Linked DNA regions of Saccharomyces cerevisiae S288C. The protein of the gene in region 1 interacts with the protein of each later gene in a pairwise test. Each region holds a gene or a part of one and is shown on either strand. Other genes may lie near its edges.

Region 1 (4,329 bases):
CCTAGAAAAACGATCCGACAACGTGCATGGTAATTCACTTACAAATACACAGAATTGCAGATAAAAAACGGAACCTTTTATTTAAGATTTAGAGCATGAATAAGAAGAATTAAAGTTTCTTTTCTTAGAATAAAAATAGTTTTTAATACATCAGAACAGAAGGAAGTAAGTAAAGCCAAAATATATATAGTAAAAACACAGTAGTAAAAAATGAATAGTAAAAAACACACAACAATAATACTAAAAGGAGAGACCAGACAGAGCGCAAATCGTTTTCATGACGGAGTATTTAGAGGAAATGATGACAAAACAAGAAAATGTTATTCTATTATAAGTTCATTTTTCAATAATAGATATGCTTTTTATTTTTTGAAATTAATGGTAACAGTCGAAGAGCACAGCTTTATCATGCATTTTCGTTCAAAGATGATCACATAAATTGCGCCCAACAACAAGAGAAAGAGCGGCCGCTCGATGCATGAGTCGGTAACGGTAGAATTAGTATCTAAATAGCATACTAAATCAATTCAGTAAAGAAACAATTATATCTTAGTGAGTGGAGTGGCCCCTGTGATATTTTAAACCGTTCAAGTTCTTATATCTCTTACCACAAACTTCACAACGGTATGGTTTATCCTTTGCAGAGCCCATTCCATCACCAAAAGAATCTGTCGAATCTGGATCTATTACGCTAAATGTACCGTCAGGGTTTTCATGTAATTTTTGATTCTGATGTCCGTGCAACCTATGGTACTTCAAACCGTTTTGGTTTTTATAAGTCTTTTCACAACCAATAACTGGACACTTAAAGGGTTTTTGTTCCTCATGATCCATTACATAGAGCCTTCTCGCAGGATCGTCTATATAAGCTTGCTGAGGCATCTTGTAATTGTTGTTATGAACTGATTTTCCATTGGAACTGGAGCCATTTTCTGTGTCATCGTCATCGTCATCGTCATCGTCATCATCAACATCATCGTCATCATCAATGTCATCAATGTCTTGATCCTCGACCATGTTTTGAGAAGATTTTGCGTGTACGGAAGAATGAAAAGTATTGTAGTTGTGAGAACCTGTAGTTGGATTTACGACAGAGTTCATGGAATTGTGGTTACTAGGGCCCAAAATATCATCATCCATAAAACTTAAATCTATATCTTGGACAAGTACCAGAGGTGATAAATCGGTTTGATGAGGATCAATTTTTCTTGATTGATGTTGAATAGGATTCCTGGACGTTTTGTTCAAGGAATAGTTATTAAAAGTATGTGGACGATTCACCATGGCGTTTTTACTACCCATGTTAATATTAGAATTGTGTGAGGTATTATTATTGATATTGATACCACTATTATTGTTACTGTTAATTTGTTTATTGTGCGGAACGTGTCTTGATGGAGAATTGCTCGTTCTTAAAAACACATCATTCGTTGAAACGGCATCGACTAGATTACCATTCAGATGTAGTTGTTGAGAGTGATTAGCCATAGATAAGCCCGAGTTGGGGGCACCCGTTATAGATATCACATTTGGATTTGCAGTTGTGGACGACGCAGTTGCTGAACCCATTACACTCGGTGTGGGTACAGCCCCTGATGTATGATTTACAGAATTCGATTGCAACTGTTGTTGTATTATATTCTGCTGATGGTGAGGATGCTGAGATTGTCGTATTGTGGAGTTGGAATCCATGTTGCTCTGAAGATTGGCATGCATATTATTAATGGAGGTGTTATTAGTTGCATTGCTGCTATGAGCCTGCATAGTATTAGTCTTATGACCTGCATTTTTTGTATTAGCGGCCATGTTATTCTGCAGGTTATAGTTGGCAGAAGAGGTATTATTTGTCATACGAACTGATGAACTAGTGTTACCAGCAGAGTTCATCGGTATTTGTGACATATTGGTAGTGTTAGGAGACGTGGATATATGAGCTTCTTCGTAATGTCTCAGCAAATCATGCAAACCTGGTAAGGAAAGACCACAGCATGAATAATCTTTACAATATTGCTTTTCTAGATTTGGCAGATAAGCAGTGTAGGCTATCTGAGGAGAAATAGAATACCCTCTATGGTAAGGCGGATTACTAACAGAGGGTCTCTTAGTTGGTTGTTGAATCTGCAAAGTATTAGTGGCAGTAGTGGTTGCAGAAGCGGCAGCGGAGGCAGCACCGTTTGCTGATGCAGGTACAATACTATTTCTACGGCTAATAATTTCATCTCTTAACCAAGAACCAACACTAATGGATCCCCATGAAACACCACCCATCCCTTGAGAATGGGCTATTGATTCTCTCCGTAACTTGGCAATGTCCTGTGGAGTTAGTAGCGTTTGGTCCATTATATTTGGAGAGTACAAATGAACATTATTTGTATTATTCATGATATTTTTTTGGTGAATATTATTGACGCCGTTAAAATCTGTGTTTTTTCCATTAGAAGAATCCGAATTGTTATTTATCAAAATGGAAGGAGTATTCTGGTTCGAATCAATATCAATATTAAAGTTTGATGACGAATTTATAGATGCATGTGCCGATGTAGCCGTCGTAGTAGTACTAGTAGCCATATTGCTTGCCATAGTCATTGTTGTAAAATCCATACTCAGATAAGCTTTTCCTGTTTCGAAGAAAAATAAAAATACTGAATATGAATATGTCTTTTAATAACAATAAATTTGAAAACGCCTTACAAGTGAAATCTTGAGGTGATTAATAGTAGGTGAATCCAGAGAAAGTGTTTCGAGGATATAATATGGTATCAGAAAGCCAAAAGACGACCGGTATATTATAAACTTAGTATGAATGTATCGTGGCGCTTTTTTCTCCTAGCTTTATTCTTCTTGCTTTCTCGCTCTAAATATGATATTGCGATAAAAGGAAGTAGTTTAACTCACCGTAAAATCGATCAATATTAGAAAAACAGAAAACCACCAGAGAGAAGCACCGATATGTAATTGAAGTAGAAAAAAAATCTAGCTTTCCTTCTCTTTATAAGCGAACTTAATGATTAGATTGACTAGCGCTATCCTTCTTTGATTGTAATATTTGTCAAACCTTGTTAACGGAGCCACTAGAATGTACAAGACGTTATATAGGGATGACAGGTAGAAAAGAGATAGGGCCTGGGAGGTAAAATGCGTACGTTAGCCTAGAGAGCTTTAAATCGGTGACGATGCGAAAGCAAATGATAATGGCAATAGCGGTGGCAGGCGACAGTGGCAAGTGACAATGGCTGATAGTGACGTTATTTGATACAAAATCGCCTTTTAACGAATGCATCGCCCATTTGTTCCAAATTTCAATTGATTCGAAATTGCTCCTTATTATGTAACTGACAAAATCCTGTCCCCTTGCACGACGTAGGCGCGTTTTGTTTCTTTTTCCTACCGCAGACCACCTTGCGCACGGGAACGCCGCACTGTTTGGCACCCAGTCACCGCCCGTACCGTCGTTCCACAGAACATGCCGCAGAAACCTGTCGGGTAATAGTACACGGGATGAAGAGACTTAATGCCGACAAGCCGGGTAGGGGAATTGTAGCTCCGAAAAGCGACGGAAAGTTCAATATACAGAAAGCCCGTGCACCATTTTTGAAAAGTTTCATAAGATCTAGTTAAAGTTATGAAGAATTTAGTTCGAATGTGTAGTGATGAGATGAGCAGTAATGAAACATTAATGAACTCAGAATAGGAAAAAAAGGCAACTTCTAAACATTATTGATGGAGCAAAACGCTGAAAAACGCTCTATTGTTGGCGACGACAACTCAACCGTGAAGAGACAAGACACTTCCCCGTCCAAAGGTATTGCACATATCAAACCAGAATATATTGTACCATTGAAGCAGAATGAAAACCAGAAGGTCGCCATCTATGATGAAGAGATGTCTTCCGACAGAATGACAAACGAGTTTGCAGGTGGGACTAATAAGAAAAATAAGAACGGAAGAGGTAAGAAGCGTGGGCAAAACAAGAATAGAGATAACAGGCAGGTCAAGGAACAGAATGTCTTGTGCCCACGCTTGATCCATGGCGATATATCTAAATGCTCCTTTGGTGATAACTGTAGGTTTGTTCACGATATCAATCTGTACCTTTCAACAAAAAAGCCTGAAGTTGAAAGTAATATATTTCCTTCCTGTCCGGTCTTCAACTCGTTGGGATTTTGCCCCATGGGATTCAAATGCAGATTTTTATCGTCTCATCTGAATAAAGAAGATAATATCCTAATATCGAAGAAGGAGATTGATCCAGATGCGCAAACAATATGGTCCGTTAAAGGTGAGGTAAACCATATCTCACCGGAAAGAAAACTCGATCTTATAAAAAGA
Region 2 (4,350 bases), on another chromosome or scaffold:
ACATTTTTCTTCTCAATAATATATAGTCTAGTTTTTGACTTCTTCGACAGTAAGATAATTAAACTGCTCCGTGAAGAGTTTTGAATTGGGAAAAACAATTGAACAAGGAACACTTATAGACCTGTTGTGATAAGAGATGACATAACTTTTATAATATGTCCTGCGGAGAATTCGATGAAATTTTGCAAATTGTAAGTTTGCTTGAAAGTTTGCTTGCGGGTAAGGTATTCTGAAAAAAATAAAATGATTCCACAATGGAAATGTGAAGATGTTGTAAACAAATCAAATGTACGGATGCACAATGGTAAACAGTACTGGATTTCTTTTTATATCACCGTTGAGCCGAAACAAACCCCGAAATAACCATTTAATATGCCAAGATGTACAAACCTCGTCTTTGCTTATTCAACTGCTACATTCGCAATACCTCAATAACGAGGTGCGTATATACATGAAGCAGAATTTTTTTTTACATATATATACTATTCATTAACTTGTAAGAAGACATTAATCACCGTTTCCTGAAGGGAAAAAAATACTAAATAGAATATGTCTTGCTCGTCATATCTCCATTTCACCTACAAATTCACCGGAACCTTCCATATTGACATCGTCGTCATCGTCTATGGCATTTTCAAATTGTTCCGCATTAGCAACGCCGCTAGCCTGTATTTCATCCTCATCTTCAAAATCTAAATCGAAGAAGTCATCATCACTGCCAACTATCTTTTCGTATAAAACTTTGGCTGCGGTGACTACTTCATCATACGATATCTCAGCAGAAGGCATGGTTGTATATATGACGCCATTATCACTCGCACCGGGAATATACTTTTTTTCCAAATCTTGATTTACATCAAAGAAGGAGGAGTTAACTACACCAAAGGGTGGCGTGGATGTGTATTGGGTATAATAAAGTTTAAATAAGAACTGTAATCTTTCCCTAGGAACATACTCCTTAAAAGATTGGCCTAACTTAACTGAATTTACTATTGTATGACCATTTCCCGTTAGTTGAACAATTTCTTCGTCGTTCTCTAAACCTGAAGACGATTCCCTTAGCAGGGCCATTTCCATAGCTTCTAGAGCGGCATCAATGTCCATTTCAGCACGTGGGCCTTGTTCTGTGGTCGATAAATACCATACAATAGTTCCTTCTGGACAAATTTCGCTGCCAGCACCGAGAATAAAGGCTTGTACTACTTCCTTATTACCAGATTTCAAAGAGCCAGGAGGGAAGACTACCATGGCGGCCGATTCACCCTCATTGAACCATTCAGTACAGGGGTTTTCAACTATACAGGTCAAACGATGAACCTGGTACTGTTGTTGAGGGACATGCTTACTGTCTTTAGGTGCTTGCGTAGGCGATATTATCACTTTCTCTGAAACTTCAACTTTGGATCCATCTTGGAATGTGGCCACTTTAGTTGTAGGGTTGAAGGATACCAATTTCTCATTGAGTTTGTAAGTAGCGCCACCTACAGCGGCAGATCTACAAAACCCTTGCGACAATTCTCCTGGCCCACCATACTTGGAGCATAGTGCAGGGAATGGTCCATAAACATCGAAACTAGTTAGATATCGACGAATCCTTTGTAAAGCTTCTGGTACTTTTACGTTGAGATCATAACATAACCCAATTGAGAAGATTAATTCGAAGACTTGTGGTTTTTCTAATTTAAACTTTTCCCCTAAAAAATCAGACATGGTCCTCTCCGCGTAGGGTTGCCATATTTCCGTTTGTGCTTCCCAGTTGAGTACGAATTTGATAAATTTCATTAAGTTCCTCTTTGTCATTAGTGGTAGGTTTTGATCCGTGAATATTTCTTGCTTTGTATTTGTTAGTTTTTCGAAACAATCATTTTCATAAGTATGGAAATTAGATAAAGATTGGAATTCTAAATACTGGTGAACTCTTGATTTGATTAAGATGGATAATAAATCAGATTTTGCAAATAGGATCTTCGGGGAAAGATCAATACCGAAATCTCTTGAAGAATATTTACCACTACCGATTAGCGTGGATACATACAACTTCGCATTTTTATAGCAACTTACTGAGCCTTCATTAACTTCATTTACCCATCTTTTGATTTGGTCTACAGTTAGTGTGGCTGAAGTGTCACCGTAATAATCATTCTTATCAATATGAAGGACATTGGAACCTTGCCAAGCTAATGCAGCAGCCAATACACTCTCTACCATACCAGTCCCTGCGATTAAAACATCAACTTTATCTGGTGTAGTGGCTGGCAAAGGGTCTTCAATACCGGCTAAATGCGGGACAACTAGAGGACTTGGATTTTGAGTAAAACTGAAAAATGATGGGCGGCGTTCTGCCATGGATGGTCTACGTTCAGGACTTAACATAACTTTTTTTCGGTCAATATTAGTCTTCCTTTTTTTATTTGTATTATAGAAACTGAAATGTTGCTGTTAAACCCTTAAAAAAACAGTAATAAATTAAACTTAAATGTTTATATCCGAAGGCAGTATCCTAGTGTCTTTTAGTTTATTATCGCAATGTGATAGTTTATCTTTCAATAATGATGGAACGGAATAAAAATTTTTCTTGTACTGATTGAATTTAGTTGCGAATTAACCGTACGCACAATCAGTGTATATTACTTCTGTAAAATCAAATGTGCAACAACTTTTGAATATATTTAATGACGGGAAAAGAACACGGGAAACGCTACTATTGTTGTATAGTGCGATATAGAACCTTTTTTTATCTTCTTCACTTGTTCTGTTTTCTTTTTTTTTTTTTTTTTTTTTTTCAAGTTCCACGAAAAAATTTTCTCGTTTTCCTTTAGTCACTCTTGTCACATAAGGATTATCCGAACCCCGCCCCGCGGAATTAATTAGTTGGCTAGATTCATGCTTGGTAGAATGAATTGTAAGACAGCTCCTCTCAAGTAAAGGCTCGAAATGTCTTCGCGACCGGCTACTACACCTCCTATTAAGGTCATGGTTCCTTTGACCAGTTCTATAGTACCTGCGACGGCCAATACTTGGTGGGGTGTGCCGACATGAGGATCCATAATGACAGATTCTTTAGTATCTCCATCATTTCGTATTAGCTTGCAACCTTGAAGGCATTGTGTATTTAAATCCACGACATTTATAACGCCACTTCCGAGTGGAACACCCGATATTACTTCTTCAGGAAGAGTTTCGTCCCGGTATATTCGGTCAACATCACCTTGTCGTAGACCCCCGATAAGCACAACCTTGTGGCCTACAGTTGTCATTGAGTGTCCTACCATACATAAGTTGATAGGTACCAAACCATCAGATTCCTCTTGTGTTTTGGCATAAAGGTCTATTTTAGTCCAGGTTTCGGAATCGAAGTCAAACCACCACATATCGCTGCAAACGTCATAGCCATCTGAACCTCCGTGGAACGCAATAGTTCTTCCGATTGATGCACATTTTTTTGATGGATTCAATGGTGGTGTATGTTTAGGGCTTGTGGGAGGACTGGATGTGGTATTCCTGGTAGACTTTGAAGAAGTGTCTTCACTAGTACTATTATTAGAATTGGAAATATGCATACTATCGCGACCACTCTTCTTCTCCTTCCTTGAATGTGGGATATTCGGAAAAAGTGGTTGAGAAGGCTTATTTCCTGGGCGTATTTCCAAATCGATGGAGAAGTCATTTTTCAAGTTCCTCAGTAATCTCGTTTCTATGGGTTCAACATCCTTGGTAAAATAATCTGGTACACAGCACGCTGAAAAGGCTCTTCTGCTCGGCCATAATTCTGGATCATCAATAATAGGGATCTTAGTAGCAGTTACAGTATCTGCAAATTTATAATAATTACGTTTCCCACGAGAAACTACAGGGATATTTATCTTCCACATGTCATTCATAGCTTCATACTTGTCGTCACCAGTCTGACTATACCCTCCAAAGATCAGAATGGTATTAACAGATGAGCAAATGTGTGTTGCTGTGCTACAATGTTTGGAAGAGAGACTATCTGTAGACCTTGGGTTTGTTACAGGTGGAATTGCATCATCCTCTAAATAGTCCGTACTTCCTGGTGAACCAACCAAATCATCTATTTTGTGATCCCCATTACCTTGGCGATATGGGCTTATCGACCTTCTTCCTTTCGCACTTGTTGTGGTATTTTCATTGGATACATTGTTGTTGGAATTACTTATTGATGCCTGCATGTGACCAAATCTTGGCGAGAAATTATTGTAAATTGCAAACTGGTACGGAGGAGCGACTAATTCAATCTTTGAGAAATTGAACGTCACTGTATCTAGAATGTAACCAGTATTGTTCAAAAAAGCTCTTTTTCTTATAAAATATCTTCCCTTATCATCAACT

What was found. The genes of interacting proteins can lie anywhere in the genome.
Region 2: the proteins of SFP1 (region 1) and MRS6 interact in binary tests that used the Saccharomyces cerevisiae proteins (3 or more experiments, as listed by UniProt).

The regions. Positions count from the first base shown.
Region 1 is NC_001144.5:923,840-928,168, reverse strand, and holds SFP1 (zinc-coordinating transcription factor SFP1), read right to left. Parts: upstream 2,602-4,329; coding exon 550-2,601; downstream 1-549. Other genes in the region: tRNA dihydrouridine synthase DUS3, read left to right, coding at 3,721-4,329. UniProt on the Saccharomyces cerevisiae protein: Transcription factor that regulates ribosomal protein (RP) and ribosome biogenesis (Ribi) gene expression in response to nutrients and stress. Promotes RP gene expression under optimal growth conditions.
Region 2 is NC_001147.6:1,028,622-1,032,971, forward strand, and holds MRS6 (GTPase-activating protein MRS6), read right to left. Parts: upstream 2,374-4,350; coding exon 562-2,373; downstream 1-561. Other genes in the region: 40S ribosomal protein eS12 RPS12, read right to left, coding at 1-4; GPB1 (Gpb1p), read right to left, coding at 2,868-4,350. UniProt on the Saccharomyces cerevisiae protein: Substrate-binding subunit (component A) of the Rab geranylgeranyltransferase (GGTase) complex. Binds unprenylated Rab proteins and presents the substrate peptide to the catalytic component B.